Drosophila melanogaster: one gene and its partners. The protein of the gene in region 3 interacts with the protein of the main gene of each other region in a pairwise test. Each region holds a gene or a part of one and is shown on either strand. Other genes may lie near its edges.

The links.
Region 1: the proteins of CG10026 (region 3) and CG43208 interact in a two-hybrid assay, tested with the Drosophila melanogaster proteins (one large-scale study listed by BioGRID).
Region 2: the proteins of CG10026 (region 3) and Brd interact in a two-hybrid assay, tested with the Drosophila melanogaster proteins (one large-scale study listed by BioGRID).
Region 4: the proteins of CG10026 (region 3) and CG4884 interact in a two-hybrid assay, tested with the Drosophila melanogaster proteins (one large-scale study listed by BioGRID).

Annotation. Positions count from the first base shown.
Region 1 is NT_033777.3:13,299,163-13,305,860, reverse strand, and holds CG43208 (uncharacterized protein), read right to left. Parts: upstream 2,436-6,698; 5' UTR 2,397-2,435; coding exon 2,369-2,396; intron 2,304-2,368; coding exon 2,110-2,303; 3' UTR 2,005-2,109; downstream 1-2,004. Other genes in the region: CG8774 (uncharacterized protein), read right to left, coding at 3,630-4,305, 4,387-5,315, 5,378-5,911, 5,966-6,110, 6,245-6,600, 6,659-6,698.
Region 2 is NT_037436.4:14,968,971-14,975,886, reverse strand, and holds Brd (bearded), read right to left. Parts: upstream 3,221-6,916; 5' UTR 3,149-3,220; coding exon 2,903-3,148; 3' UTR 2,689-2,902; downstream 1-2,688. Other genes in the region: ocho, read right to left, coding at 134-583; Tom (twin of m4), read right to left, coding at 5,984-6,460.
Region 3 is NT_033779.5:19,451,365-19,459,884, reverse strand, and holds CG10026 (uncharacterized protein), read right to left. Parts: upstream 4,208-8,520; 5' UTR 3,705-4,207; coding exon 3,702-3,704; intron 3,477-3,701; coding exon 3,317-3,476; intron 3,256-3,316; coding exon 3,161-3,255; intron 3,062-3,160; coding exon 2,717-3,061; intron 2,658-2,716; coding exon 2,479-2,657; intron 2,410-2,478; coding exon 2,292-2,409; 3' UTR 2,162-2,291; downstream 1-2,161. Other genes in the region: Top2 (topoisomerase 2), read left to right, coding at 7,600-8,157, 8,215-8,520.
Region 4 is NT_033777.3:27,954,441-27,962,944, reverse strand, and holds CG4884 (uncharacterized protein), read left to right. Parts: upstream 1-3,699; 5' UTR 3,700-3,769; coding exon of another isoform or gene 3,770-3,867; intron 3,868-3,925; coding exon of another isoform or gene 3,926-4,757; 5' UTR 4,758-4,845; coding exon 4,846-5,138; intron 5,139-5,200; coding exon 5,201-5,273; intron 5,274-5,325; coding exon 5,326-5,529; 3' UTR 5,530-5,589; downstream 5,590-8,504. Other genes in the region: CG31131 (uncharacterized protein), read left to right, coding at 1-904; CG31253 (uncharacterized protein), read left to right, coding at 2,411-3,550; CG42487 (uncharacterized protein), read left to right, coding at 3,770-3,867, 3,926-4,757; Nep7 (neprilysin 7), read right to left, coding at 5,707-6,714, 6,779-7,924.

The DNA of each region.
Region 1 (6,698 bases), on a different chromosome or scaffold from region 3:
TGTAAACACGACGCATTTGCTGGCCAACAACCACAGATACACAGCAAAAAAAATCATAAGCAAATGATTACCAACAAAATCGAAGATACAAATTGAAGATCTAATGAAGAAGTAAAATGTCTAATTGCCGTAATTGTATTTATATATACAATTTATAATATTGATAATATTGATAATTAAAAAAACTGTGATATTAATTTTTCTTATAATCAGATTGGTAACAATTGTTGATAAATGTCAAAGAATGCAACTACGAACAGAATCTACTTCTCGTTGATAAGAGACATACCAATATAATCTGATAATGGGCTACGATAGATATAATTCTTTTCTTTTTTTTTTTGCTGTGCATCGATTGTGGCCGATTTAAGGCCAAGAACTTGCGCGGCAAGTGAACTATGTATGCATTTGGCTCCAAGCCTGTTTGCAGCGGTCCCAAAGGGGTGTGGGAAAGAAGGAGGGGAGGGGAAGGGAGCGGTGCAACCTGTTTGATTCAGCCATGTGGAGTTCTCTTGGCCAGCCTGCGATGGCCCGTTGTTTATCGAAACGAATACCCGTTGAAAGTCAAAGTTGGCATAGAATCCGGTGGTCACATTTCAGCGAATATTAAAAATAGTGATCGCCTCAATGCGCCCAATTAAAACTAGAATTTTGATCGCATAACGGCGATGCGGTGACAATGGTCATTTTGTATTGGCGTGGAGCTTTTGGAGCGGACTCAACGGTATCTGATTGATATGGGCCACTTATTATCTATTATTCCCGTCACATTTCGCACTATGCCTTTTACTTGATTTACAGTTGAAATCACAGCTTTTCGTGTCTCGTTTTTCGTTTTTCTTTTGTCTACGAATGGCATTAATTGTAACTTTGCCGGGTCCGAGGAATATTCACTCGGCTAATTTGATAACGGCAATTGCCGGACAGCTATCATTCTTGATTCAAATCGTAGGCGCGCACTCGAGAAATCCGAGAAAACGAAGAAAAGCGAAAAGAAAGGGGAATCGCGAGAATCGTAATTGAGATCGTATTTGCAGACGGAGTCCGCTCTTTTCTATCGCGACCGTCGCGCTCTGCTCTGAACTTCCGACTGAAGCGGGCTCCAAAGTTGTCACGGCACTCGAGCTTCTCCGGAAAGCTCTCTCATCAGCTGAGACCGGCTTTTTTATGGCCCCAACATGCGATGATCTCCAATGCATTGGGGGTATTCACAAGTGTGCTTGCAATCGTACTAGTTGCGGACAGTGCACTAGATACGATCTTAGCTACATAAATAGTACGATATAATAAAGATACCTGACATCTTAGTCTAGACATGCTAACAAAATGTTTGTCATCGCAAGATATACCTTAAAATTACTCACCTATCTACTCCATCGGCATTCGTGTAGTTGCTGATGTAGCTGCCCACCAGACTGCTCAGATCGCAGTCGAAACTTGCGGACAGTGTGTAGGCCTTGTTCATACTGAGGACCTCTCTTAGCGTGATCAGGAGCAGCTCCCGGGACTCATCCAAGTTGATGCTATCGATGGCCACGCGTATGCGCGCCATCATGTTCAGGATGCTGATGCTGTGCACATTGAGCTCCTTGGCGTGCAGGACGATCAGGTTGGTGATCGCGTTCAGCTGGAACTGAATGGACACGGTTCCCTCACAGGCGCCGGTCGTCAAGTCGGGATGGTAGTACACCTTGTACTTGATGGGCGTCAGTTCCGTGGGCAGGCGCCATTCGATCTGCGGGGTCGTAAAGTTTATTTAATATCCACGCCATCGATAATGGGCTTTGGCCCTATTAAGTGAGCAATGCGTTGATAAGGTGGCGATAGGAAATAGCACTGTTGTGGTCAGGTCGTAAACCAAGTGGACGTCGTTGCAACAAATATGCCTTAGCTGGATATAGTGGCTAAATGTTGTGAAATTAGGGTCCTAATTTATTAGGTGCAATTTCAGATATCAAACAACAATAGCTCTACTACACAAATATTGAAACCTAAGCGTATTTTGGTTTCTTATCCGTTTGCCTTTATTGCTTTATTGCTTTAACCATTTTTGGAAATAGATATGGATTTGAAAGCCATCTTTTTGAATGTTTGCCAGCACCCTAATTCTTATGAATTTCTTTCCGAAATGGTGGACAACAAGTGGCTTTGAATGTATTCCTCCAGAACATCCAACATCCTTTTGGCTTCGTCCAACTGCAGCAATAAATTATCCCTGTGGACGGCCACAATGACAAGGGCAACGATCAAGCAGGTCGATAATAGACCAAAGAATATAGCCACGCGCTCAGCGGTGATCAAGTCTATGAAAATATACATGAATCGGTATCGGTGTTTTCCCAAAACTTCCTTCGTTATCAATAAATACCCTTAATCCTGTCCTGCATGTGTCCCATTTTTGTGGCTCCTAACACTGCGTTAGCCGCAATTAAACTAACTTAAAAGACCCAAGAAATTAGACCCGTTTTGTATTATGATAAAAAAGAGGAAAAAAAACGCTAGCCAAGCGATAAGCACTTGAAATGACCAGTAAGACTAAGTTGGAACTTAATAAATTCGAAATTAGTAGCCATGCCGACTTTACGTCTAATCGCTGAAAATTTTCCCACTCTGTGTGAGGGTTTTTCTGAACTAACATCTTTTATAGCCGTGAAATATATTTTTCTTGCACTTCACTCACCTTTTCAGGATCAGGAAGTCCTGTCGGCAATGTCGGATAGATGGGATTGGTGGTGCTTCCTGTACTGGATGATGGCGAAGTTTCACCACCCGGAGATGTTCCTGCACTGGGGGTTGTGTCACCTCCTACGCCAGGTGTGGTGGTAGAGCCAGGCTCGGTGTCATCCGTGGGCCCATTGGGATTTGCAGTGGTGGTGGTCGTGGAAGTGCTGGTAGAGGTGGAGGACGTGGACGTGGTGTCCACCGTCAATGCGTCGATCTTATCGAGGGCATCCTGCAGATCGTTCTCCAGGTCCGCATTCTGAACGGCCAGCACAATCGTGGCCACACAAAAAGCAGTAGAGGCCAGGCCCAAAAAGATGGCCACTGACTTAACCGTCAGCCCTAAAATGAGTTCACATTAGTTACTGTTCCTTCGGGATATGCTACTCTATATAGAAGACTCACAGGCAACCATTTTTAGGGATATTCTTTTTTCGATGAAAATTACTCGACTGCTTCCACTAGGCTGGAAGCCAAATTGGAAACTGAATGCAAGTTGCGAATCTGACCCCACAATTTGGACTTGATAAACCTGATCAGATTGCTGACCGATATCTAGACTATATACTATATAGCTTCGTGTCCAGATAAAATCGTTTTATGCTAGACCATTACTTTTACGATTCGAACAAGGCCATATATCGACTATTATGACTGGACACTCTAATTACTCAGGATAATTACGCATGGTCATGATTCCGCATTGACCATATACTCAAAGACCCTATCTCCAATTATTTCCTAGAAGCTATAGAAATCCCCACTTGCCTCGGATAAAATGAATGAAAATATGGGGGTTGTATTTATGGTTTGATTTTGAAATTTCATTTTATTGAACTCGAACGGAATTTTCGCTTATGCAACTCTAATTATTGGCTAAATGGCCAGTTTATATACAATATACAATTTTACAATTGGTTTTTCTTGGTCAGCGGCGAGGCCGTTCCACTTAGCCAGTCGGTGATGTCAGCTTCGTTTCTGGATAGCCATTCGATGTTGTACTTGATGGTTTCCACGGCCTCCAACCGGGAGTTAGCTCCAGCTCCCGATTCGGGGTACTTGGAGAAGAAGTGCTGAACCTCCTCCAGTTTCACGGAGCTGGCAAAGTTGGCCGTAATCTGGGCGATAAGTCGTCCAAAGTTGCGGTTGTTCAGGCCAAAACGGGTGGTGAGTTGGGGCCACTGTTCGCGGTAGAATTCCCAGACCACCGGTTCACCCACAGGATTGGCGGCTATGTACTGCACACAGGTGAAATAGTCCTGGGAGCGAACGATGCTCTCATCACTGGAGGCCTGTGCCAGGAAGTCGAACAGATACTGGCTGTTCCGTACGCCAGACAATCCGTACATCAGCTTCAGTTTCTCGCTGGCATCGGTTTCGGCCACAAAGAGTTGGAACAACTGATCCCAGCTCGATTGGCTGGTGGACTGCTGCATGCCGTAGTAGTAGACAATCTCGCGAAGATCGGGGGAAGGTCGAGTGGTCGGATTCTCCAGGAAGGTGCTGAAGCGCTCGGAAGCCTGCTGCAGACAATCTGGAACACCCAGGGCACAGGCGGCGGTCAAAATGGAAACACGCAGGCGGCTGCAAAGGAATAAAGATTGTTTGAATAACAGTAGTTTGAGTAATGTTTTCAGAAAAACAAGTTGGTACTTATATACGTACTTCTTCAAGTGATTGTCGGCGTCCACAGTCCAACCCACCTCCTCGTATACGCCAGCGATCAGACTTCTGGCATAGGTGAGGTACGACACGTATCCCTCGCTGAACATGAGACTGCGATGGAGCGACCTCAGCTTATTGGAGGCCACATACCAGGGCACGAAGTCGCGCTCCTGGGCCAAGTAAGCGGTCATATCCAGAGGAATTTTGTAGGATAGTTGGTTGGCATCCGCCAGGGCGAAGGCATCGTTCAAAAGATGGCCACGATCGGCGATTTCGAATCGAGCGGGACTGGTGGTTAGCTGCTGGATGAGCAGGGCCCACAGGCTCTCCTCGTAGTTAACCCGATAGTAGCCCGTTTGGTTGACATTCAACTTGATCCACTGCACCTCGCTGGGCACGGCAATACCCACAGAGTCCACATCGTAGTCGTATATGAAGCTGTTCTCTGAACCATCATCAGCAAACCAGGTAATCGGAACACTCCATTTGTATCCGTATGCGCTATCTGAAGGGGCTTCCTCGTAACTGGCTGGATTGGAGAGGAATCGCTGCTGGGTAACCTTAAAACTACCATCTGCAACCTTGGAGACATTCAACACCGGATAACCCATCTGTTCGGTCCAGGTGAGCATCAGTTTCTTGATATCCAAGTCAGTTACCACAGCTTCGACTTCGGTGAGGAAATCGTCGGTCACCGTGTTATTGAACTGATGCTTGACCAGGTAATTGGTCACCGCCTCCTCAAACTTTTCGGCGCCCACAAGTGTCTCCAGCATGCGGATCACGGATCCTCCCTTTTCGTAACTGATGGTGTCGAATATGGCCGTAATTTCATCGGGGCTTTCTACCTTCTGGACAATCGGATGGGATGATAGCTTGGCATCGTATAACAACACGGGTTGCAGGGCCACGATTTGGAATTGCTCCAGCTGATTGGTAAATATAAGATATTTTCTTTGAGGATTCAAATCGGTATTATCCATTTCCTTACCATTCCCCAGTCCGGGTGCACAGCATTGACTCCCTTGTACTGCATGTAGCGGGCGAATCCCTCGTTCAGCCACAGATCGTTCCACCACTTCATGGTGACCAGGTTTCCGAACCACTGGTGTGCAATCTCATGGGCCAGTGTTCCGGCTATCGATTGTTTGTTCGCTGTGGAACTGTAACTGGGATCGTACAGCAGAGCGGTCTCTCTGTAAGTCACCAATCCCCAGTGCTCCATGGCCCCAGATGCAAAGTCGGGAATGGCGGCCATGTCCAGTTTGGTCAGCGGATAGGGCACCTTATAGTACTGAATATAGTACTCCGTGACAGCTTGTCCGAACTCCAGAGCAAACTCGACCTTGTTGATCTGATGCGAGGTGGCATAGGCTTGCATGGAGAAGTCCTCGCCAATTCCGTTGGCCTTCACCGTGGTCGATTGGGAAGCGAAGTCGGACACAATGATGCATACCAGGTAGGTGCTCATCGACACACTCGTCTCGAAGATGGCCTCAGTATAGTCACCCAGATAATTGGATTCCTATTATTTAAATTTTGTTTAACCCATTTAAATTGTTTGTTTACTTGAGCTCACCGTTTGTTGCATGTTGGAAACGGCGTGGTAGGATCCCGATGGATGAACCACTGTAATGGCGAATGTGGCCTTCATGGCTGGTTCATCGAAGCATGGGAAGGCCTGACGCGCGTAAGTGGGTTCGAATTTCGTCGTAGAAATGGTTCTGCATAAGGAAAATATTAATTTATATATTGAAAAAGTATTCAAATAAAAATTCAAAACAAAACAACAAATCCAGATCTGGTCATAAGAACACATTGCATACTTTTGGGCATAACGTAAAAATATCCGAAATACCTGGTAGCTCCTGCCTCGTTTAGATATGTACTGCTGTAGAGACCCACAAGCTTATCCTTCATCTGTCCACCAAAAATGATTCCGAGAGTAATGCTGGCGTCCACCGCCAGCTCTTCCGTCAAAGTTATGATCAGGAACTGACGTTCCTCCTCAAGCTCAAACTTTTCCACCTCTCTATTCAGCACATAGACACTTGTGATATCCAGGAGATATGAGTGCAGAATAATCTGATTAGTGGCCTCCACCACCTTGATGCTGATCCTCTGTTGTCCGGTGAAGTTTCCTGTCTCCAGATCCGGATGCCAGTAGAGCTCGTAGTGCGTGGGCACCAGATTCGTGGGCAGGCGGTAATCCGTCTTCAGGGTTAGATTATGGTAGTAAATGGATTCAACTGATTAGCAAGTGATTACACACCGTATCTTCACGCTTCATGCGAGTGCGGCTCTCTCCGCTC
Region 2 (6,916 bases), on a different chromosome or scaffold from region 3:
AGTGCCCAAACTCTGGAGTACCCATCCCGCTGGAGAACCGAGCTCCAGTCCAGTTGAAGTTATCCCAATCGAAAGTTGAAAAAACCCATTTTTCGTTCAAGGTTGAAGTTGCAGCTCCAGGCGATTACTTCGTTCAAGCTTGAGCCCAACGGTCCAGGAAGTTCCATTCGATGGCATAGGGTTCGCAGGCTTTGGGTTGCACCGATGTCCAGAAGAAGGTGCCGGCATTGGTGCGGGCAAAATGCACTGGTACATAGTAATCCTCCTGGTCGATGGTGTGCAGCTCCCCGGATCCGTTCTCATTGTAAACGATGACGGCATCTTCCTTGGCGCACTGGCGGATTTCCTCGATGAGGCGATGCTCCAGATGCTCGTTGGCCATGTTGTCCATATCGTTGCTGAGCCACTCGAACTCGGCCTCCTTCTCCTCGGAGGCGATGTAGGAGCTCCTCTTGGGCTGCTCCTTCTTCATGTTGAAGAATTGACCGAGCAGCGGCTTCAGCAGATTCTTCAGGCGACGCGAAGGCGAGACTTTCGATTTGTACATGGTGTTGAGGGTCTTCTGCTTGCTGATGGCCGACATTAGATGAATTTCGTTCAGATATTTTCTGGTGGTGAGTGCGTAGAATGCGTGCTGGGATGTTCTCGCTTCGACGTTCGGATGCTGTGTGATGCTGTCACTAAGATTAGAGGCGCTATTTATACTTTCTTGGGAGACAGGAGCGATGCTACAGCATCTCAGCCAATCACGTCGCTCGGAAGGCAGGCAGGTGCAAGGATCCGAAATTTCACACGTTAGTCAGTGGCAGCAGGTAGGTCCTGCAGGACCTGAGATTCGAGATCTTGTGCGAAGCGTGGGAATCTCGGGCCCATTCCTCCTTTCAAGACAATTATCCCCGGGTTCCAAACGAATCCTTGGCGTGGGAACAGCACATTGCCGGCCTTCTCTCGGAGACCCAGTTATTGTTTTGGATTTCGACTGGGTTTGTTTTGCCAGTTCATCAGAAATATGTCGATCCTGTAACCGAAAACCAGCTACAATCTAAGCCAAATTTACACAAATCGTGCACTTTCATTCTTATGTTTTTCGGTTCGGTTGATTAGGGATGGCATCGCAGAAAGTCCTTTGAGGCACGATCTTGAGAATTCTCACGTTCAGTTGGGGAGCTCCTCGTATTTTGGTTACTTGGGCAGCGGGCTTCCCAAATATTTTCGTGTCACGACAGAGGGTTTCATTTTTGAACATCTCTAGTCCTCACTTTTTTGGTTCAGACCCCTCAATTAATTGTAGAATGGGGGTTCATTTTTTGTGAATGTATCGTATTATAACTCATTTATTGTGGGATGTGGTGATTGCTCGCCTTACATTTATATTTACAGCCTGTGAGAATTTGTAACCCGTGTTTAAATGGTTGAAAAGATCCTAAAGAAATATAAAACTGCAGATGAGGTCTGTTTAGATGTTTGGGCCCTATTGATATCAAATTGTGTTTGTAGCAATCACTAATATAAATTTACTTGAGGTTTCATTTTTTCTATTACTTAGGGCCACAAAAGAGCTGAAATCCTCAGAGACAAATATTTTGTTTTGAAGAAGTATGATGTCTATGGTTTGTTAAGTAAGTGGTCTTAGAATCTTTAAATAAATAATAATAATGAATATTAATTAATTAGTCATATATATTTGCATATATGATACATATCATAAAATATTGTTGTTTTTAATAAAGCGACGACAACACATTTTTTGCGACTATCTTATAAACGAATTTATTGTAATGTTTAGTAATGGTTTAAATATTGTTATTTGATTTACCCCAACTCAAACAAAATCCTACACATAACAGAGTTTGAATCACAAAAATAAAAAATAAGAGTTTAATAAAATTAAATTCAACGCCCAAATCTATAAATTATTTTAATATTTATGTAATTATCTTGATTTCAAACACAAATATTTATTTAGATTTATTAATATCAATTAAACTTTTGTTTCTTTAATAAAATTATCATCATCATATCATCATATCATTATCTTTGTATTATATCATTGCCCATTTAAAACTCCAACGGGTCCTGTAACCTGTAACATTATCCCGAACTGTACTTGGTTGTATGCTTTCAATAAGGAATCTGCATCGACTTTATGTAAAACTATTTACATAACGCACACACGATCTTATGTACGAGAATGCCCCCTTTGAAATGCCATAAAGATCGAACCGAACCGTGCGGCCTTTTCGCATTTATTATTGAGATAGGATTGGCTTTGTTTCTGCTCGTAGCGTAGGGCCCCTGCCTTTTTTGTTTATCATCCGAGGGACTGGGACCGGGACCCTCTACCTGTTCCGATGCAATTCGAGATTTATTTTGTCCAGGGCCCAACCCTAAGAAGGAGCGCTGAAAACGAAAATCAGAAATCGCCTGGAGGTAACAGGTTTCCCCGGCTCACTCGGCTTGATTTTTCGAGTTTTTCGAATCCACAACAGGTTTCCAACAAAAGGGAACAGGTAAAGGTTTTGTTTTTCGAGTTAAGGTTCTTAGGGTCTCGCTGTTCCGTGAATGTGGAAGGGTCAGGGGTACGGGATAAGAACGGTTTTTGGCTTACAGATTCTTGGAAAAACCTTCGAGGAAATTACAATGACAAAGGGAAAGTTCGAATAAGAAATCAGAAATGCAAACAAGTTTCGGTATTAATATTATGTATTTATTCATACTCTCTTAAACATAGATGGAAGACAATGATTAAAGCTGGATATTTGTGCATTTCATTTTAAAATCTCCACTTGCACAGTGTGGAGAGTTAAAGCTGTTGCGGATGATGTTTAGAGACCGAATCCGTTGGAGTCTTTAAAGCTGATTGGAAAGTGGTATTTTTTTTCGGATTTCCCATTTTCCTCGATTACAGTTGGACGAGCTCGGCTTCCAATTGCTCGTTCTGGGAGTTCTGCAGCTCCTCCTCGGAAGTGGGCAGTGGGAGCTCCTTCGGCATGGAGTGGTTCTTCAGTTGCTGGTGGCCCGATGCCTTGAAGATTTTGCAGGCCACCTTGAAGATCTTCTTCATGGCCTTGGCGGGTGTGTAGGTCTTCTTCTGGCAGACAGGAGTGGTGGTGTAGATGGTGGTGTTCATCAGAGTTTCGTAGGCCATTTTTGCTAGTTAGTAGTTTGCTTGCTTGGTCGACTGATCTTGGCTGTTCAACGTTGCGATTGAATGTGATGTCCTATTCGGAATTGCGCACCGCTTAAATACCCGATCCTTGCGAAAGCAACCCCTAAGTCAACCAATCAGGACGAGTCCTAGCGCGCAGGTGTTTCTCGGTCTCTCAAAATATGAGAGTCACGCATTCCTCAACTCTCTGCAGGTAGTTCGGGATCGTTTCGGGTCCCTTTTTTGAGCGACCCTTGCACGTGTGCGAAGTAAGGCCACAATTTTCGTAGGCCCTAAATAAATCTCTCCCTCGATTTCGTTTTCGTCGTGGGAGAGTATAATTTCAGTCGAATGCCAATAGGAGGACGATGCCGGCAAGCATAACAAATAGCCAAAAAATGAAAGAAATGAAAAAATAAACGATCATCCCTTTTCCATCGGGTTCGGGTTAGTAATTTGAGTGGTTTGTTTGCGGAGGACTCGGCTCGAATTTATGCCTTGATTAGTTTTTGGCTATTAATTGTTAATAGGCTGACAGTGGAGGATAAAAGTGACAGACCCTCGTTAAACACATGTTGTCGGCAAACGAGAAATATTTACACGTCAACATTTCATTTTTGATCAGTACAGGTAGACTGTGGTCCTTTCGAGTACAGTGAACATTCGCTCGAAGGTGTGCAGGGATTTTCAAGATTCCACACTCACTGCAGCGTAGTTGCTCTGGCAGGCTTCACTGTCCTCACACTTGTTCTTCGGGGTTGTTTTGGTCCTTGGCAAAATTTGAATTTGGAGCGTAATGAAACTCGAATTTCTTCGTTTATTGCATGAAAGGTTTCTTTATCTTTCCCTTAAATCTGCTATAGGGATTTAAGATATTTTTGGATTTCTTGTTGCATGGAACCACCACTTGGAAATATGGTTTTCTGTGACAGGTTTCACTGTCCCCACACTTGTGTGTTGGTTCGGGCTCTCCAAGAAAATTAAAATTTCGTCTCTTGTTGAAATTCGAATTTCGTCTCCTATTGAAATACTTGGCACTTGTAATTTGGGATTCATTCGTATTCCAATCCAGTTGCATTAGATGGAGTGGGATAGGATCCTGGCCCATCCACTTGGGGGGTGACCAACCAGGAACCTAGCGTGCTTGTGGCTCGCTTAACTATTCCACAGGCATAATTCCCCATAAGCACTTGAAGATTTTATTTTGGTGGCGTTTCAAGTTTAGTTGTTAGTGTCAGGTTTCCTGAAATTCAAGCGCCAGAATGAAGCCTGCATAATTAGCTTGTGGCTATCGTGAAACAAAATATTGTGGATCGAGTGTTGTAATATGACTTATGTTGCATTTTTCTTATAAAAAAAAATTATTTACACTGAAAATACATGTATTCTTTAATACATAATTCTTTATCTTTATTTTATTTCAGTTCGGTGGCTTGTTAGCCGTATATACATACATATTATATATGATATTATTGTGATAAATATTTATCATTGACTCATTTAAAGAATTTTGAGAATTCACGCGTTTGTAGCACATTCAAAATTTTTAAAAATTATTTTATTCATTTTAGACTGGGTTATTTGATATGGTTTTCTTATAATTAGTTCTTGAAGAATTCTTTGTAGTATTTTAATATTTGTAGATACAAACAGTAATTTTTTTTAACCATAATATTTTTTTTTTATTTTACTTTGCTTTTATTTATTGAATCTTCTTGTATAAGAACTAACAATAAGTTTAAAAATCTTAACTATAACAAGTATTTTTTGAACAGTTGTATTATTTTTCCAACTGTTCTATGTTTAAACGGCCCTAATAATTTATTCGCTGGGTTGGTAGGTCCTTTCGCCGGAGACGGGAACGGCTGCTGAGCTGGATTAGACCTCGCGCTAGGTGGTTGGGGTGCGTGTGAAGCGTGTGAACCATAATATGATATGAAAAGATATGATATTTACTATACCAATATTTTCGAAATATAAATAGAATAAATAAATAAATACATATATACTACAAAGGTATATATTAGGTATATTTGAAACAAAAATCATATTTTAACGATAACAGATGCAGAAATTGTATGAAAGACAAAAAATAATATTTGGTGAATATTATATTAGCCTGTGGTCAGGCTAAATATAAATGTAAATAAAATTCTTTATTGTTCTTACGGAAGTATTTCCAACTGCCTACCAGCAGCATTTTTGGATTCAAATGGTCTCCAAGCAGGAATGAATGCAGTCACTAATTGGAATGTGTTCACCAGCATAGCGAGTCCAATTTAAAATCCATTCTTCAAATCAGAATTGTACAGAGTAGCCGAATTTAACTATACTTACAATGGTCATTCAATTTGGGATTTTTCTTTTCCAACCTTATTCATATTATTTCATATCAGTTTTCAGAATAAAGAGACATTAGAATTTCCTTTTTTCGATTTATTTATTTCTTATATGATATTAGTGTTTATAGCTAAAGTTTTACATGGAAGACAATGATTCTTAGCCTAATTCTTATACGAAGACCCTAACAAACAAACATGGAAGACAATGATTCGGCTAAGACTAACTTAAGGCTAATAAGACACGATAAATCACAATGAGTTAACGATAGTAACGCTTGATTGTGATAATTGAATATCAATTAGAGTTGTGTTTCCCTTGGGACGCGAGCCCAAAGAATCCAATCTATGCCTAATATCACCCTGAGATTACGAACATGCGAAGCTGAACCCGCATCCATCCGACGACCAATGGACGGAGACACTTGCACTTAAAGCTGCCAATTGGAGTTTTTCCCGGTGCATCGAGAAGTGGAACTGTGCATCCTGGCGATGTTTAGGCCTGAACCCAACGGTCGAACTGCTGGCGCAACTGCTGTTCGTGGTGCTGGCGAGCTCCCTCGGCTGAGGTCCAGAAGAAGGTGCCGCTGGTGGTGCGGGCGAAGTGGACCGGGATGAAGGTCTGCTCCGGATGGACGGGCACGATGCTCTGTTGCTGACCCTGCTGCACGATCATGGCCACGTTGGTGGGGCACTGGCGGAGATCGGTGTACAGTCGCTGCTCCAGCTCCTCGTTGGCCATGTTATCGCAACTGGCCGCCGGATCTTTGCGCATGTCCTCCAGCGAGGCGTTGACTGCATTTTGGTTCTGGATCTCGGCCAGAGTCTTCCGGAGTAGCTGCTTCTTCTTCACCAGTCGCAGAAGGGGTTTGACCAGTTTCCTCAGACTCCGCATGGCCATCGTGTGCTGATCTGATTTCGGCTCCATCACCTTGCTGCTCTCAAACTTGTATTCCCGTGTGATGAACGACATTGTGTTGAGGATTGTTGAGATTTATAATAAAACTTGGGATCTTAGTTGGTTGCACTCGGTTGAGAGTTGGTAGTATTCTGGTTTTCCTGCTGCACGACCGACTCCTTATATACGATTTGCTCTCTTTGGTTTCTCTCGGCGGGGGAGAATTCTCGCACAGAGCGGCGGTTCTCTCGATCGATGGACCCAGCCAATGGGAAGGCAGACTGCCTGCAGGTGGTTGCACAAACAGTGAGAGCGGGAGACAAAAGAGAGCCAAGAGAAAGCGGTCTCGGAATCAGGAGCATGTCCTTACCCTTGAGAAAGCAGGGTATGATGAATTTTTGAGTCTGTGCATAAAAAATAGATTTTACGAAAAATAAGGTTAATATGTTTTTATTGTGTGTATATCTTTTAAGTGTATTTTTTCTAAAAAAAATTATTTATAATAGTAATATTGAAAGGGGCCATATAAGG
Region 3 (8,520 bases):
GGAGTCGTCGTCTTCCGGAGTCAACAAATTGACAGCGAATATTTCAATTATACTGGTCTGGCCTGGTCCTTATTTATGGAAATCCCCCAAGCCCGAACAATCCTCACTTCGCGGGGCAGTGGGAAATTGACCCCCGTTCGGCACAGTTGATGTTTGTTTACAAATCGCTGGACATAATTTATTTGTTCCTATTGTGTTTTGCTTTTGGCCTGGGATCTGCCTGCCAATCGCCGCGTGATAAACCGCCTTCGGTGATAAGGAAACCCAAACGGGGTGTGAGTGAGGGGTTGATTCGGTCGGGGTCACCCTTGCCAGCTCATTAGGAAGCAATTATCCGTTTAGGGTTGCAAACATATCTTCTGGGAGAGAGGGAAAAATTGAGGTCAGGTACACTGTCAACGGATGTCAACGACTGTCAGTTTGACACTGCCTTCGGTGACAGTTGACAGCCGGGGAACGCCCTCAAATGTGTCTCCTGGATAATATGGCCAATTTCGGAAGTGAGATGCGGAAGCAGATGAGTTCGAATTGAGGAAGTTCTTTGGGGAATTTGGCTTTCTGCATGTCTACGGAATAATAAATCGGAGGTTATTTCAAGAGTAAATTGAGTTCAGAGCATACTAATAGAAGAGACACACAATGACACTAATTAGAAATCAAACAAGTACCAACTATGGTTCCCTTTAAAGTTAATAATCCAGCGAACTATCTAAGTGGTTTTAAATGGTTTTGGATACTCGTTTGCTCAATTTGTAATGACTTTCCTTTAGTTACTGGTCAAAAAGATTTCTGTCGTCCTCGGAATGATATATTTATGTGTATCTCGAAATCCCCAAGACATTGGCTACTTAAAAGACAGCACATGTTGAAGAAAACGAATCCTTTGCCCCTTCTGACCGCCTTCTTTGTTTTTCAATAAAACTCGAATAAATTCAGTTTGCCAGCCATAAATTATGTCCAGCTCGGTTTCGCCTCACACACGTGTTGCCAGAAGCCAGAAGCCAAAAGCCGAAATGCCAAAAAGCCAACTAATAACGCGCATCGGTCGTGCCCCCCAAATGTAGGCTATGCGATGTGTGTTTTTTGTCCGAATGTTTTTTCCGTTCTGACTGCCACTGTGTTACTGTCCCCCCATAAATATTTGCGCAATAAATTTTTTAATCTTGTCGCTTTAATCGCACAAATGTCGCTGTCCTTTATACGCACTCACACAGCTGTCCAGCACGCACACAGATTATGGCCACCCCCATCCCCACAATCGAGCCACATACACATAATACGCATAATGCCAACCTAGACCCCCGGTAGCACCGAAATCAATTTCACTATCGTTGACCAAACGGAAAAGCAAGGCCATTGCGGAGAATAGAGGGGGCAGGATTCTGACTTTGGACACCCTGCACTTGGACGAAAAAAATTTGTGAAGCAATATACTTTTAACCGAAAGCAAACATTTAATTATATATACTTAATTTCAGTTTATATATAGTATATGCTCTAAACTCTGAAGCTTTGGGTGTAACCATATATAAATTTCTAAATCTTAACCATGAAACCTAATTGACAATACAGAGTAACTTTAAGTCGAGAAAGTAATTCTTTACCGTTTTTTACGCAGACGGCAATGACTTCCGGGGGTCGGAGGATAGCGTTGAGACAACGGGATTCAATAAAAAATATCAAACATATTCGCAACGGTCAGATGGAGGAATCGAAATCTCCAGCACCCTCCTTCTGTTCGTCGAGCTCGATCTCCCCTCTCGCTCACATCCGGTGACAGGACGAGTGCAAACATATTTATGGCTACCGACTGCATTTTATGCGTTGTCCAACACTCAATTACCATAACGGCGAATGGTCGTGTGGCCAGTTGTCTCGCTCTAGCACCTAACGCATTTTGCATACGAATCGCATAAAACTCAAAGGACCAATATGCTATACATCCTAACCGAAACGAATGTTTTGCGGGCTAGCCGGGCCATTTGATTCGGTTAGGAACAAATTATTATTGCCTTTTGCCCCGAATTTGGTCGTGATAGCCGATGGGTCATTGATGTGACCGCCAAATGTATGAAGCATTACGGTTTATGCCGCTTCTAACCTCAAATTGTTGGGAACGAAACTCAAATGAATTGTTTGGTGAGTAATATTGCGTAGAAGTAATTTTCGAAATTCTTTAATATTTAAAATATCACCTACTTTGCTTCAATTGATTCTGGTATCATTACTTAACATATATGTAGTACAAAAATACAAGTATCAAGCATATCATTTTAAACAAGGCATGAAGCCTAGTCAAAGATGAATCCCAATTGCTCCATATCCTTTTGGATACTATTGCCCGAACACTGCTCCTTCAGCATATCCAACCAGAGCGTATAAGAGTAGTCCTCGTGCAAGCCACCATAGCTGAAATAGTATAAGTTTAATTATATCTGACTAATTATTTTAATAAAAAAAAAAAACCATTTTACTTACCGCTTGGGAAGATGTTCTGGGTTGATGTGTTTGTGCAGGGAAGTCATGTCACTGCCATGGATGTATAGCTTTTCTCGCATAGCGGCGTTGAGGAAAGGTTTAAATATCTTGAATGCCGCGTTGAAGACCCAATTCTGATTTACAATATGAAGGGCGGATGTTCTAATGGGCATGGAGGTCTGCAAGCCAAGTGTAGGTTAAAAAAGCTATTGAAAATAATAAAAAGTAGTTATCCTACCACTAGTAGAGCAATCATCTTCTGAGCCACGCTGGGACTCAGGTGGAGTATGTGTTCCAAGCCCAGGTCCTTCAGATCGAATATTCCCACTCCTCCGACAATCTGTGAGATGGGTTCCAGGCTGCCCAGTTCCTGCAGGACAATGGTGGCGCGAAATATATCGTCGACGGTTACTTGATTGGGTCGCCACAGTCCGAATCGGTAGATGAGTATCCTATGGCCATGTTGATCCCGATAGGGAGTCACTGTCAGGATGTCCGATTGCCCAACATGTCTCAGGTCCAGAGGACGAACCTTCTCATAAAAGCTTTTGTTCTGCTCCCGAAACCTGTAGTAACTGCAGAGCTGAAAGGGAATGAGTTATTGCATTTACCTAATAGATAATTATCAAATAGTCACTTGCTGTTGGCAAACTAAAATGAAGATTTCCCCAAGTTTTCTTACCAATTTGTAACTGTTCTCGATTTTCCAGTAGCGGGCTCTTAGGAATTTCTCCAGGTACTTCGCATCACTTCTGTGTGGTTGGCATTCATTATGTTCTGGAGAGGTTTTGTTCAGATGAATACCTTTGTACCTCTTAGACAACGGACTATAACCAACCTAGTATGTAGTTACGGAATTGTTCGATGACCTTATCCTTGGAACTGGGACACTCTCCCTGCTCCTGGGCAAGTCGGCGGATGTGCTCCGGAACCTCCTCCTCGGTGATGTTTAGCTTGTGCTCGATGGTGGGCATGGTGCGGCATCCACTGCTGGTCGTCTAAAAAAAGCCCAAACTATAGATACAATGTGGCCATAAGGGGGTGGTGCATTGATAAGCGCTTTTCACTCGCGCAAAATGTAAATAAAAATAAATCCAGTTGAGAATAGCGCAATATGACTGTTCCCGATTGTTTCGTTGTTAGCAACATTTCGCCACCCGTATTGACATTTAAATTTCAGAGAGATTTGGCATGTCACTGCTGGATGAATTTCTCGTTGTTACCATTTATGGGCTGTGATCCGCTCGACTCCAAGTGTGAAACTGAGCCCCCGATCGGAACCAGAATCGGGCCAAGTGGTGACAGTCCCAGGCGAAATGCTGTTTTACTTGTCGCTAAACATGTACGAGTGTGTATGCGACCATTAAATATTAACTAGAAACCGAACAACAATGAACATTGCGATAGCGCGAAGGAGACAGCCGATGAGTGATAACAGTGTGTCACTGAGCTCGAGCTAAATTTAGTGAATCTGCTGTACTTAATTGATGGAGCGGGAATCCACAAGAATTATAAACAATATAGTATAAGTAAAGTGTTGTGCAATTACTCAGTTTTGGCTGCACTTAGTTTTTAGAAACATTGCCTTTGGGTTGGTTGTTTCCAGCAATCAATACATTAGGTAGGTACACTTTCAAAACAATGTATGCAAAATGAAATCATTAAAATTTTTAAAATCATTTAAAATATATTAATATAATATAATAATATATATATATATAATATAAATATATACTAATTGGGGGTTAGTACCGATTGTTACATTGCTAGCTTAATCTTGGAATTGCATAGTGTTCAGCATCAGCCCCAAAATATGTGCTCTTGTTAGGTGTACCTCGACCTGGCCTTGGCCGGATTTCCCAATTCCTATCCCTACACCCCAAAACGCAGAGCCAGACCCAAACTTGCCCCCAGTGAACCCCGCGATTGTAGAGGAGCCACTGCCTGATAAGGCATTATCCGCCGCGTTCCCAGTTCGCCAATGGCTAATCGGGTCGCTTGGGGTCTGTGCGGTGCAGCGTTGTGTGAGTTCGACGCGTATTTGGCAGATACTGTGAGATGATGCCACCGCGATCTCAAAGTGCAGCACACACAAATTTCACACGTGGTGGCCGTGCAAAGTGCCTGGGTCAATATTTAATCATATTCAACAAATTCCAACTAATTACACATTATGCACTTTTAAGTACGCCTGATTGCAGTGCTTAAGTCCCAGCACATACATACTCGTAGTTCGGTTCAAGTGTTAATGAACTCGCCATTGTTGTCGTTAATTGTCTACATGGATTTGATAATCCCAAGATAATCACAATAATAGTGCCCCCCATTAGGGTGTTTGATAATAAGCGATTATTTCACAGCCCCACCTGCACCTTTAAACACCTGTTTAAATCGCCCCATTAGCTCGGGGTCTTCACTTTCATTACCAGGTAATAATCCAATCCGAGTGGCGGTTACTGTTTCTGGTCACGGTTTCTATTTTTTCCAGCTTGCAGTACGGGGAATCCGACTTAACGAAGATCGCACACAAGTGGCATCGCAGAAGCTTGGAATGAAACTGAGCTGGGGATCGCTTAGAACAGAAGATTTTATGAACACAAGTCTCAATGGAAAAAGTCGAGAAAAAGCGCAGCACTTATGACTATAAACCAGTATGCGAGAACGAGAAACCAGCATCTGAAAATAGGGAGAGCCAGCTCGATGAAACGACGATGCAAACACCCTTAAAAACGCAATTAAGTAAAATTTGTTGATTAACAATACATATACATACAATTTATTCAAAAAAAAAAAAAAGAAACTAATTGCTAATTGTAGTACTTATGTTTATCTTTTTATCTTACCAAATCTTAGGAGTTTTAGCTCACATCTTGTTCAACTTGCTAATAGTATCCTGGAATAAACTGCACTTAACTCCGCTAGTTCACAATTTTCCCATGCATCAGCTGAAATTCCCAATTTGGCAGGGTACAAACTGCACTCCGCATATTGAGAGATCTTTGCTGATGCTTGTCAAACGAGAATCAACAGATTTGGAGGAGTAGAGAATATTTCTGGACGATATTCGATGCTGTGCAAGTTCAATGAGCTCCGGTGACGTCACTGCGTGAAGGGTTCTCCATTACCCAAGCAGAAATTCCGAGTAACTCGGATGAATCCAGAATCTTTATATTTTGTTTGCACTATTCAAAACATGTTTCTGAGCCGGAATGAAAATCGCAACGGGATGGGGAGGGACATGCCCCTTTATGACGTCGTGTTGGGCAAGGTCAGGCAAAATGGCAGAAAGAAAACCAGTTCTCTTGTAGCCATGGTCTTGGCTTTGGAATATTCATATTACCAGGTGGTTAATTGAAAAGCAATCTTCACTTCAACGGTGCGAAATTTAATTGCACAAATGCAACTTTAGCAGCAATTTTTCATTTCATTTCATTTTAAGTAATTGCTGTATATCACATTGATGTGGGATACAATACTAAGCATATGAAAGGATAAATTTCTTAATGGTTTTACTTTGTCTTAAATTTTTGATAATTTGCATTTAGATCGAAATATTTTATCTTTTTTACATTTATTTCAATGCCGATTTATAATGTAAAAAATAGAAGAAATGTTAGTTGGAATAATTAAAACCCCTACTTTCGACTCGAAAAAGAATTTAACCCCAAAAATGTTATTATTATTTATTACCTTCGAATTTTTTAGAATTAACTGTTGCTTAACTCATCACGTGATTGAGATAGAACTAAAAAACCGTGATTTTGGCGATCACGCTTTTAGCGGAGTCACCGACCGCAGTTACTAGTTTAGCCCTGTTCACAATGAGCGTATGCACCAACCCAAACAACACTGTTATGGGACTTATCGATAGCGATTTCATTCAAACATCGATTTGTGCGCCTTGCCAGCTCTAAAACCAGCAATACTTCTCATTTGTTGTCGGTTGTGAAAAGTTGTTAAATGTGCTGTGCGTATTTTAATAGTTAGTTGAGAACTGTACAAGTTTTAGCTAAAGGCAGCAGACGCGTGGGGCACGTACAAGTCGAAAATTGTAGTGCACCGCCTCGTGTATCGCCTGCAACATAGAGTTTTGCCGCACTTCGGTTGTCGGCGGCAGCAAGAAAAGGCCACAAATACTTGGCAATTTTTTAACCAGGTAAGCAGAAAGTGCTGAATCATAATCGTAGAATTGGCTGTACCGTAGAACCTAAGAGCCCTGTCTAATTAATCCTTTAATATGATGGATATAGCAATTTTTCGGTGGCGTCGCTTGCAAATTAAAAATGGCGATACCGGTATAGACATTTAGCTAATTTTGGGCCTTTAAAAACCATAGTTTTTTGATTTTGTAGCGCGGAGCGCGTATGTAGGCCTGAATTTGTTTACTATAAAGTGAAACCCCTCGAAGAACCTTAATAAGAAATAATAAATAGCGGTGACTACCGGCAAACGCCAATAAACACGCACACTCACGCAACAGACGGCGCACGCCAAGCGTTGCCGCCAAAGAGACAGGGCTGTTATGTATTTCAAAGTGTGCTGAAAATCTGTTCCCAGTACAGTAGCACCAGGCAAAATAATACTTAGTTTGACGTTTTTCAATTTATCTGCAGTTATTTCTGTTTGACGTACCCAACCATTTCCCATGTTGGCCAAGTCCCATTCCATTGCAGCGTTTGTCTGGACGGCATTTACGCAATGCGCGGGCGCGCGTTTTGTTTTTTTTTTTCACCGTGGGTACAGTGCGCATTCATTAATAAAAAATTGTTGAACAGCAGCATCAGCAGCATTGGCATCACATGCCAACGCACAACCATCCCCGTTATTAAGAGGCCATTAAACATATTGGGTGCCATCTATCTTATTTGGTATTATAACAATTAAAAAAAAAACGTGAACATAATATTACTAATATACTAATAGCAACTGTTAACTGGGTGGGTACTGTAGTCTTCTGCTAGTAGCTTTGGTTTTTTTTTTACTTAGTAGAACGCAGGACGAGTGATTAATAGTAGCTAAGGCAATGGCTCGGAATATTAGTTATTAATATTAATATTACATTAACAAATGCCTTTTGCTTACTCTTTGAAGATTCAGCTAAAGCACAGCGACAGAAGCATCATGGAGAACGGAAACAAGGCCCTGTCCATCGAACAGATGTACCAGAAGAAGTCGCAGCTGGAGCACATCCTGCTGCGACCCGACTCGTACATCGGATCCGTGGAGTTCACCAAGGAGCTGATGTGGGTGTATGACAACTCCCAAAACCGCATGGTGCAGAAGGAGATCTCTTTCGTGCCCGGCCTCTACAAGATATTCGACGAGATTCTTGTGAATGCGGCAGATAACAAGCAGCGAGACAAGAGCATGAACACCATTAAGATCGACATCGATCCGGAGCGCAATATGGTGTCCGTGTGGAACAACGGCCAGGGCATTCCGGTGACCATGCACAAGGAGCAGAAGATGTACGTTCCAACGATGATCTTTGGTCATCTGCTGACCTCGTCGAACTACAACGACGATGAGAAGAAGGTCACTGGCGGCAGGAACGGATACGGAGCGAAGCTCTGCAACATATTCTCCACCAGCTTCACCGTTGAGACTGCCACGAGGGAATACAAGAAAAGTTTCAAGCAGACTTGGGGAAACAACATGGGAAAAGCCTCCGATGTGCAGGTAAGGAAATAACATTTCTTATTTTAGACCATCATCTAATGTTCAGTAAACCCACAGATCAAGGACTTCAATGGCACTGACTACACACGCATCACATTCAGTCCCGATCTGGCCAAGTTCAAGATGGACCGTCTCGATGAAGATATTGTGGCTCTAATGTCGCGTCGCGCCTACGATGTGGCCGCCTCATCCAAGGGAGTATCCGTCTTCTTAAACGGCAACAAACTGGGTGTACGCAACTTCAAGGACTATATTGATTTGCACATCAAGAACACGGACGACGATTCTGGCCCACCGATCAAGATAGTCCACGAGGTTGCCAACGAGCGTTGGGAGGTGGCTTGCTGTCCTTCAGATCGAGGC
Region 4 (8,504 bases), on a different chromosome or scaffold from region 3:
TACTGGCTACTTCACTGGGGAAGTATCTACTACAACGGAGAAAAGTGCCACTGAGGAATCTACAACTACGGCGGTGGATTATTCAACCACCGAATCTAGTTATGTAACTTCAACCACGGATACTTTATATTCCACGACAACAGCTTGGCCGGAAGTCACCAGCACAGATGCTATAGATGCCACTGAATCAGTAGCCCTATATTCCACAACAACTTCGAGTCCAGAAGCTGCAGATTCAACGACAGAAAGCAATTCAGACAGTACTGAATATGCTGAATCAACGTTAATTTATCCAGATTTATCTACAGGATGGCAAGAAACTACTACAGAAACCATTCAGAGCTCTACAGGATTGCAGGAATCAACAACAACAGAGTTTATGCCAAGTACTACGGAATTTCCGGAATCAACGACTACTTTAAGTTCTGAATTTTCAGAGAAAGAACTAATAAAAACTACCACAGAAATAGAAATCAATCCAAGCACTACAGAATTGCCGGAATCAACGACTGAATCTGCTGATTCTACCACAGAACCGAACGAATCCACGTTTGCATTATCCACAGATCAAACTACAACTGAAACAGCAGAAACTTCAACAGAAGAATTGTTTTCAACCACAGAAACCCAGGAATCTACTACATCCTTGCTGGAAATCATTGCCACGACTCCGGGCGTGGAAACTACCACGTCGTATCTGGATGCAGTGATTGACAGCACCGAAGAGGAAAGTTCTACATTATCAACACCATTTGGATTTAATTTAACAACAACGGAAATAGTAGAAACTCAAGTAGAAACCACAACACCAAGGCAATTGAATTTCGTCGAAGATTACGTTCGCCAGAGACCGAGAAAATTGAAGTACTCTTCGGACACGGAGCCGGAACTTTACTGGTACTGAAAATGATTGCAAATAAAAATTAAGAGTTTGATTAAAAATTTTTAGAAGCAAAAATTAAGAGTTTTAATTTAAATAAAAACGTAAAGCAATTGGCAACGCGATTTAAGCTATGGCTTATTTTAAACTAAGAAACGCGGTCACACTGGCCAAAAGCCAAACACATTGTTGTTTGATTTTTCAGCAGAAATTTTTTATTTTTTATTAGTTTATATCGTAAACATGAGTTTGTCCAGCATAAAACAGAAAGAAGCTAAGGGCAAAAAGAAATTGCTGCCCAAACTGCGCAATATTCTAGCCAATCCTTACAAACAGCACAGGTGAGGCGGGCAGAAACCAATAAAAACCCAATCAACAGGTTGTTTCTTTTGACTTTAGCCCTCTTTTATCGGAGGAGGAAGTGCAGCAGTTCCGTCAGATCCTTCAGAATGCAATTAAAAGCAGCGACGGGCAGACCAAATCGTTTGCCACTCGATACGGAATACATCTCGGCCTGGAGAGCTCCCTACGCGCCATAAACTCGCGGCGTTTCTCCTGCCTATTGGTTTCCTTGAGCCTGCGACCAACTCACCTCGTCCGTCTAATGGCCACCAGTGCATCTGTCAAGATGCCCACGTGCTCCTTGATCTGGAACTTGAGCTTCTTCACTGGCTCTATAAGCGGCTTGTCCAGCGGCTGGGCGTCCTCCTCCTGGACAATGGTCTCCACATCCGGGCCGTAGACCTCAACTGCTGACGGATAGTAGCGTTTGTCCTCGTGCAAAACCACGGCGGTCACCTCCTTGTCCTCGTCCTCCTGTGGCTCCACCTCGTCCTCGTCCATGGCGTCCTTTAAATGAAACACCATAAATTAATTATAAGTTTTATTTTATTTTTTGCACGTTTATACCTCTGGGTCATCCTGCACATCGGGTTGCCCATAAATACTTTGCTCATCTTCCTCGTCGCTGTCTAAATCGGGGCCAATATAGTTGCCAAACTCATCGTACAAATCGGAATCCATGGTTTTTCCTAAAATAAATATATATATCAATACTTTCATTCAAAATTTGCCGGTGGCGTCTTAGAAAATTTAAAACTTTCACGGTGACTCGAAACTTATGCTACTCTTGTTTTTTGTTGTTTTTACCGACTTACCAATTGTTACAGGACCTTCTGATTGCTAAATTCTTCTTTAAAACGTAAGAAAACTGCAAATAATATAATTATTCACAATTTTTACACAAAAACGCGGACTGCAAACACGCTGTTCTTCTTCTTCCCCGAAAAACACTCAGCTGTTAAGCGGCCGGCATTACCTACGGCATTGCCAGCACAAATAAAGTAAGCGCTTGCAGCCCTGGCGGCAACATTTGAATTTTCCAGTTCATTAGGGCTAATTAACGTTTTTGCCAAGAAAGCAGGTAGCTAAAATACGCGTTGAAACGTAGGTAGACCCTTGCGTTTATATTGCACTGCAGTCGCCAAAGGTAATTAGTCGAAAGTGTCAACCGAAGGTATCAGCATCATAATGAGAAAATTCTGTTTGCTTCTTTTAATGGCGCATTTTGTGGCCTCAAGCCGAAATTTAAACGATATTCTCGGTCGCGAGGAGTGGATTAGCATAGCCAAGGAATACATCAAGAACCACAAGCCTTACAAAGCCAAAATCTACACACCCTACAAGCCGCGCATCGTAAATTTTACCAATCCGTTCGATGGAGATTTTTGGGACACAACTACGGTGGCCACCAATCCGCAGGAGACTACTGGCTACTTCACTGGGGAAGTATCTACTACAACGGAGAAAAGTGCCACTGAGGAATCTACAACTACGGCGGTGGATTATTCAACCACCGAATCTAGTTATGTAACTTCAACCACGGATACTTTATATTCCACGACAACAGCTTGGCCGGAAGTCACCAGCACAGATGCTATAGATGCCACTGAATCAGTAGCCCTATATTCCACAACAACTTCGAGTCCAGAAGCTGCAGATTCAACGACAGAAAGCAATTCAGACAGTACTGAATATGCTGAATCAACGTTAATTTATCCAGATTTATCTACAGGATGGCAAGAAACTACTACAGAAACCATTCAGAGCTCTACAGGATTGCAGGAATCAACAACAACAGAGTTTATGCCAAGTACTACGGAATTTCCGGAATCAACGACTACTTTAAGTTCTGAATTTTCAGAGAAAGAACTAATAAAAACTACCACAGAAATAGAAATCAATCCAAGCACTACAGAATTGCCGGAATCAACGACTGAATCTGCTGATTCTACCACAGAACCGAACGAATCCACGTTTGCATTATCCACAGATCAAACTACAACTGAAACAGCAGAAACTTCAACAGAAGAATTGTTTTCAACCACAGAAACCCAGGAATCTACTACATCCTTGCTGGAAATCATTGCCACGACTCCGGGCGTGGAAACTACCACGTCGTATCTGGATGCAGTGATTGACAGCACCGAAGAGGAAAGTTCTACATTATCAACACCATTTGGATTTAATTTAACAACAACGGAAATAGTAGAAACTCAAGTAGAAACCACAACACCAAGGCAATTGAATTTCGTCGAAGATTACGTTCGCCAGAGACCGAGAAAATTGAAGTACTCTTCGGACACGGAGCCGGAACTTTACTGGTACTGAAAATGATTGCAAATAAAAATTAAGAGTTTGATTAAAAATTTTTAGAAGCAAAAATTAAGAGTTTTAATTTAAATAAAAACGTAAAGCAATTGGCAACGCGATTTAAGCTATGGCTTATTTTAAACTAAGAAACGCGGTCACACTGGCCAAAAGCCAAACACATTGTTGTTTGATTTTTCAGCAGAAATTTTTTATTTTTTATTAGTTTATATCGTAAACATGAGTTTGTCCAGCATAAAACAGAAAGAAGCTAAGGGCAAAAAGAAATTGCTGCCCAAACTGCGCAATATTCTAGCCAATCCTTACAAACAGCACAGGTGAGGCGGGCAGAAACCAATAAAAACCCAATCAACAGGTTGTTTCTTTTGACTTTAGCCCTCTTTTATCGGAGGAGGAAGTGCAGCAGTTCCGTCAGATCCTTCAGAATGCAATTAAAAGCAGCGACGGGCAGACCAAATCGTTTGCCACTCGATACGGAATACATCTCGGCCTGGAGAGCTCCCTACGCGCCATAAACTCGCGGCGTTTCTCCTGCCTATTGGTTTCCTTGAGCCTGCGACCAACTCACCTCGTCCGTCTAATGGCCACCAGTGCATCTGTCAAGATGCCCACGGCTCCCATTTACGCGCAGCCCAAACTGGAGGAGCTTACCCAGGAAATCTTTGGCGTTAGAGCGCTTTCCTTGGCCTTGCCATTAGATTTGAAAGCAATAAGCGAGGACTTGGAACAGTGGATTACTGCCCGAAAGAGAACACCTACACCTGCTAAGAAGATAGCCCCGAAAACGCACAAAAAACCCAAGAAGAAACCCGAAATAATCAAACCAGCCGAAGAGGAAAAAAAACCGCAGCTCCCAGTGGCTGAAAAGAAGGATTGGGGTGATGATTTCATATCCTGCTTCTCGGACGAACCCTCAGTAAAGTTGGACCGCGTGGATGTCCAGGTGGAGACCCAAAAACTGGGCAATGCCCTCAGTAATTTGGCAATGAAAGCCAAAAGTAAAAAGCCGGTAGTAGAAGTCAAAAATAACCCTGTTAAAAAAGAGAAGTCCCCCAGCCCAGAGCCCATGGAGGTGGAGCCACATGATGATGATGATTTCCTGCCCGCAGATCTGCACAACTATCGCCCCCTTACTGTCTACCAAGTGCGTCCTAATCCCGACAAGAAACCCAAAAAGAAACGAAACAAAAAGGCAAACAAGTCCTAGAGATGGTTGGCAACGCCACCGCAACAGCTGTAGTTTTTAGGTTATGTTATTCAGTTTGTTATCGTAATTGTTAAGGCGCCCACACAAAATGCTCCGGACTTTTCGTCAAATAGCCCGACTAGGAAGATCCCTAAGGACGCCATTTCCATCTAAAAGTCTGCCTAAACTCTCAACCACCTTAGAGCTGCAGGCTCCTGTACACACCAGTGCTTCAGCGTGGAAGTACGACAAGAAATCCTCACGAGCATCGGATGACTTGGACAGCGACGACGAGGATGATGAGGATTTCAAGGACGAAAGGGACTCCAAGGTGGTCAAGACCAAGGTGAACTCACTGCGCGCCGATCTCCTACTGAAAGCTGGCCTGGGCATGGCGAGAAAGTAAGAAACAGCCGAAGGTTTTCTAAATGCCCCCAATAACCATGATGTCTTACCTCCCACAGCAAAGTGGAACTGAATTTCTACGAGAGCAAGATACGCGTCAATGGAAAGAAGCTGCCCAAAAAGAGTGCCCAGGTATGGAGTCCATATATAGATCGAATTCAATCTTATGATTTACCATTTACAGCTGGAAGTCGGCGATGAAATCGACGTAATCCGAGGCTTTAGTCAATCGAATCCTTCCCATCTGGTCGTGGCCCGCGTCTCAATCCTCTCCGTCAGCGAGCGCGAGGAAGGACTCAGCGTCCACCTGAGGCGCTACAAATCCCTGCTGGTCGAGAATTACCGGGGACCCAACGCCTTCAAATCCTCAGAGCACGTTGCTCATTAAAACCAATTAGAAATAAAGAGACTATTAAGAGTAAATGGGTAAAGTCGAGTGAGTTAACTCAATTGCAGAAATGTGTAAGACTATATCGTCGATTTGCATTATTTTTCCTGTTTTCATTTATTTTGTAGTTGAACATCTAGAGTATTTTACATCTTTTCCTTTATATACGACTTATGGTCACCACATCCGACAACTCTCAGCCTTCGGATGCATTGGACTGCCCAGTGGGCACTTGTAGACCTCAGCAAAATCGTCGTTGTTGGAAACGGCACCCAGCACCCGATACTTATCGACGGTATGTGCGCCAGTGAGCTCCTCCCAGTAGTGCTCCGGCTCGTAGTCGGCGCACCACAGCTGCGCGAATCCCACGAAGAAGAGCTGCTCCGGCGACAGGTCGAGGCCGGGCATCTGCTCGTTTTTGTGAGCCAACGTCTCCCCATCCGCTCCACTTCGTTGCAGCTGCTTCATGTGGTTTCGATAGCCGGTGAGTGCGGCCCTCAAGCCACCGGCGTCCGCTATGTTCTCGTCCCTTGTCTCATTGCCGCGAATTGTCTGGTTGATTTCCGGTATCAAGTATTGGTTGAAGTAATCCACATAGCACTGCGCCCGTTCCTGGAATACCGCCTCCGACTTCCTGGACCACCAGTCGCGTACTTCGCCGGCGCTGTCGAAACTGGAGCCCTCCGTATCGAAGCCGTGGGTCAACTCGTGACCTATCAGATAGCCAATGGTGCCGAACTTCAAGGAATCGGGCCATGAACGGTGGTACGCAGGCGGATGCAGTACTCCCGCCATCACGTACACCGAGTTATCCAGATTGTAGTAGAAGGCGTTCACCTGCATTCCCACGAGCAGTGTCAGTGGCTTTGTGTCCTTGGGCAGCTCGTCCGCATGTAAGCCAGCGTAGCGATGAAGATAGGTGCCCAATACTCGCAGATTGATCAAACTCTGGGCATAGCTGCCTTCAACAATGGTCAGATTGTTGATCTCGCGGATTAGAGTGTCCGACAGCTCTTCGTTTTTGTAACTGCCGATTACTGGCGTGATGCCGGCCTCCTTGCTCAGAGCCTCTGCTCGCGTCTCCGCGTCCAACCACTCCACACTCTCGAGGATCTGTCGCTGGGCCTTTCGCATTTCGGTCACCATGTCAGAGATCTCCGAGTGCTTCTCGTCGGTGAAGTGCTCCTATGAAAGTTAGTTGATATCAATTGAAAAGCTAAGCTTCACATATTCACAGCATCCAACTCACCGCCATGTAGAGCCTGTTGAACAGATTTGGCAGCGTCATCTGGACGATCATCAAGCAGTTAACCTTTTGGTCCTCCGGCTGCTTGGGCTCCTTCAGCTTGTCGTCCATGCGGTAGAGAAACCGCATGGCTAGATAATTGGCCACCGCCTCCGTATGCTTGGCGCACACCTTGTCGAGCTCCACATAGTAAAAGTCGCAGAATTCGCCACCGGACGAGCCGTTGTAAAAGTCTATACCATTCCAGGCTATCTCGTAGTAGCTCCTCCACTGACCAAATCGCGGCACCTCCTCAATCTCACTGAGCAAATCGCACTTATCCCTATCGCTCTCGAACTTATCCTCAATACTGAGCGCCTCGCTCCAAAAAGCAAAGACGCCTTCGATCACGGCAGAGATTTCATCCTTCGTGAGATTGTATTCCTTCAGGTAGCCACGCATGCGATGCTCGTTGAGCTGGTAGGCCCGCGAGCTCGTATTGGCAACGTGAGCGGTGTGGACGACATGGTCAAAGCCCAGTTCGGGTAGCTTGAAGTACGGATTGAAGGGATGCTGCGGCAGAATTTCTTCGTGGATCAAACTGCGAACGCCGTAGTTGCTGAGATGGGCGCTCATGTTGAACCAACTGAAGCTGGAGGCGTTCCAGGCGTCTCTGTCGACGGCGGGAAAACCACCCAGCGACCTGATAACCGATAGATAAGCGGGATCGGCAGCGGGCCGCGGAAAGAGCTCGGCCGCCAGGCAGGAATTGTAGAAGCGTTGTGCAACGAGCAGCTCGGCGGACACGTTCAGTGCCTCCGCCAACTTTGTCCTGGTCAGCAGCTGCTCCGTCACGTCCATCAGTGTGTAGCTGATGTCCAGAATATTGCTCCGCCTATGGGGCGATTGCCGCGGCGTTTTCACGTTCTTCCAGTTGCCGCACGCGAACTCGTAGAAGTCGTCGCACGGATCGACGCTGAAGTTCATATAGGACTTCATCATGGCGCCATGGGATCGCAGGTAGTCGGCCGTCTCATCCGTAATCGCGTTCTCATGGGACTCGTCGCCAATACTCCTGGCCTCGCAGTCATTCAAAATCACGCAGATCAGGATGCAAACTGCCAGCCGCGTGTATAGGGGCAGTCGAAAGTAGCTCGAGATTGAGAGCATATTGGTCCGATTCGCAGGGCACACACGCAGTTTGTATAATATAATAAAGTAGTGCGGCCAGTGATCGATCGACCCGGATTATTTGAAAAACCCAACAAGCTCGACTACCTAATCCGGAACGCGATTGAGAACTGAGCAAGCAGCAGCATCTCTCCGATCCCATCGGCGTGTGCTTTTTTTTCGCAATCATGTTGACCAGCAGCACTGGACAACAGAGATTATAATGAATTATATTACTATGACGTCGTTCCGCACACTTTCACCATCTTTGGTGCGCATTCTAAGCCACTGCTTTGAATAATAAGGAGGAGGTCATGGGCATCCAAGCTATCTCTCTAGCCAACTTAGTTTTTAGGTAACCACTTTCGCAGAATGGGAACGATTTTGCTGCACTGTGTAGTCCGGCTGTTCTCTTGGCGAGACTTGACCTAAGCCACACGCTTCTGTTGATAAGGATTTGTAAGTTCTGGGAGATTCATTGATAGCGCCCCTCATTCATTCAGAGTAAAAACAATTCTCAGTTTTGGTTTCAAAATCTCATCGTCACTTGTGTCACACGATTGCACATTGTGAACACGTT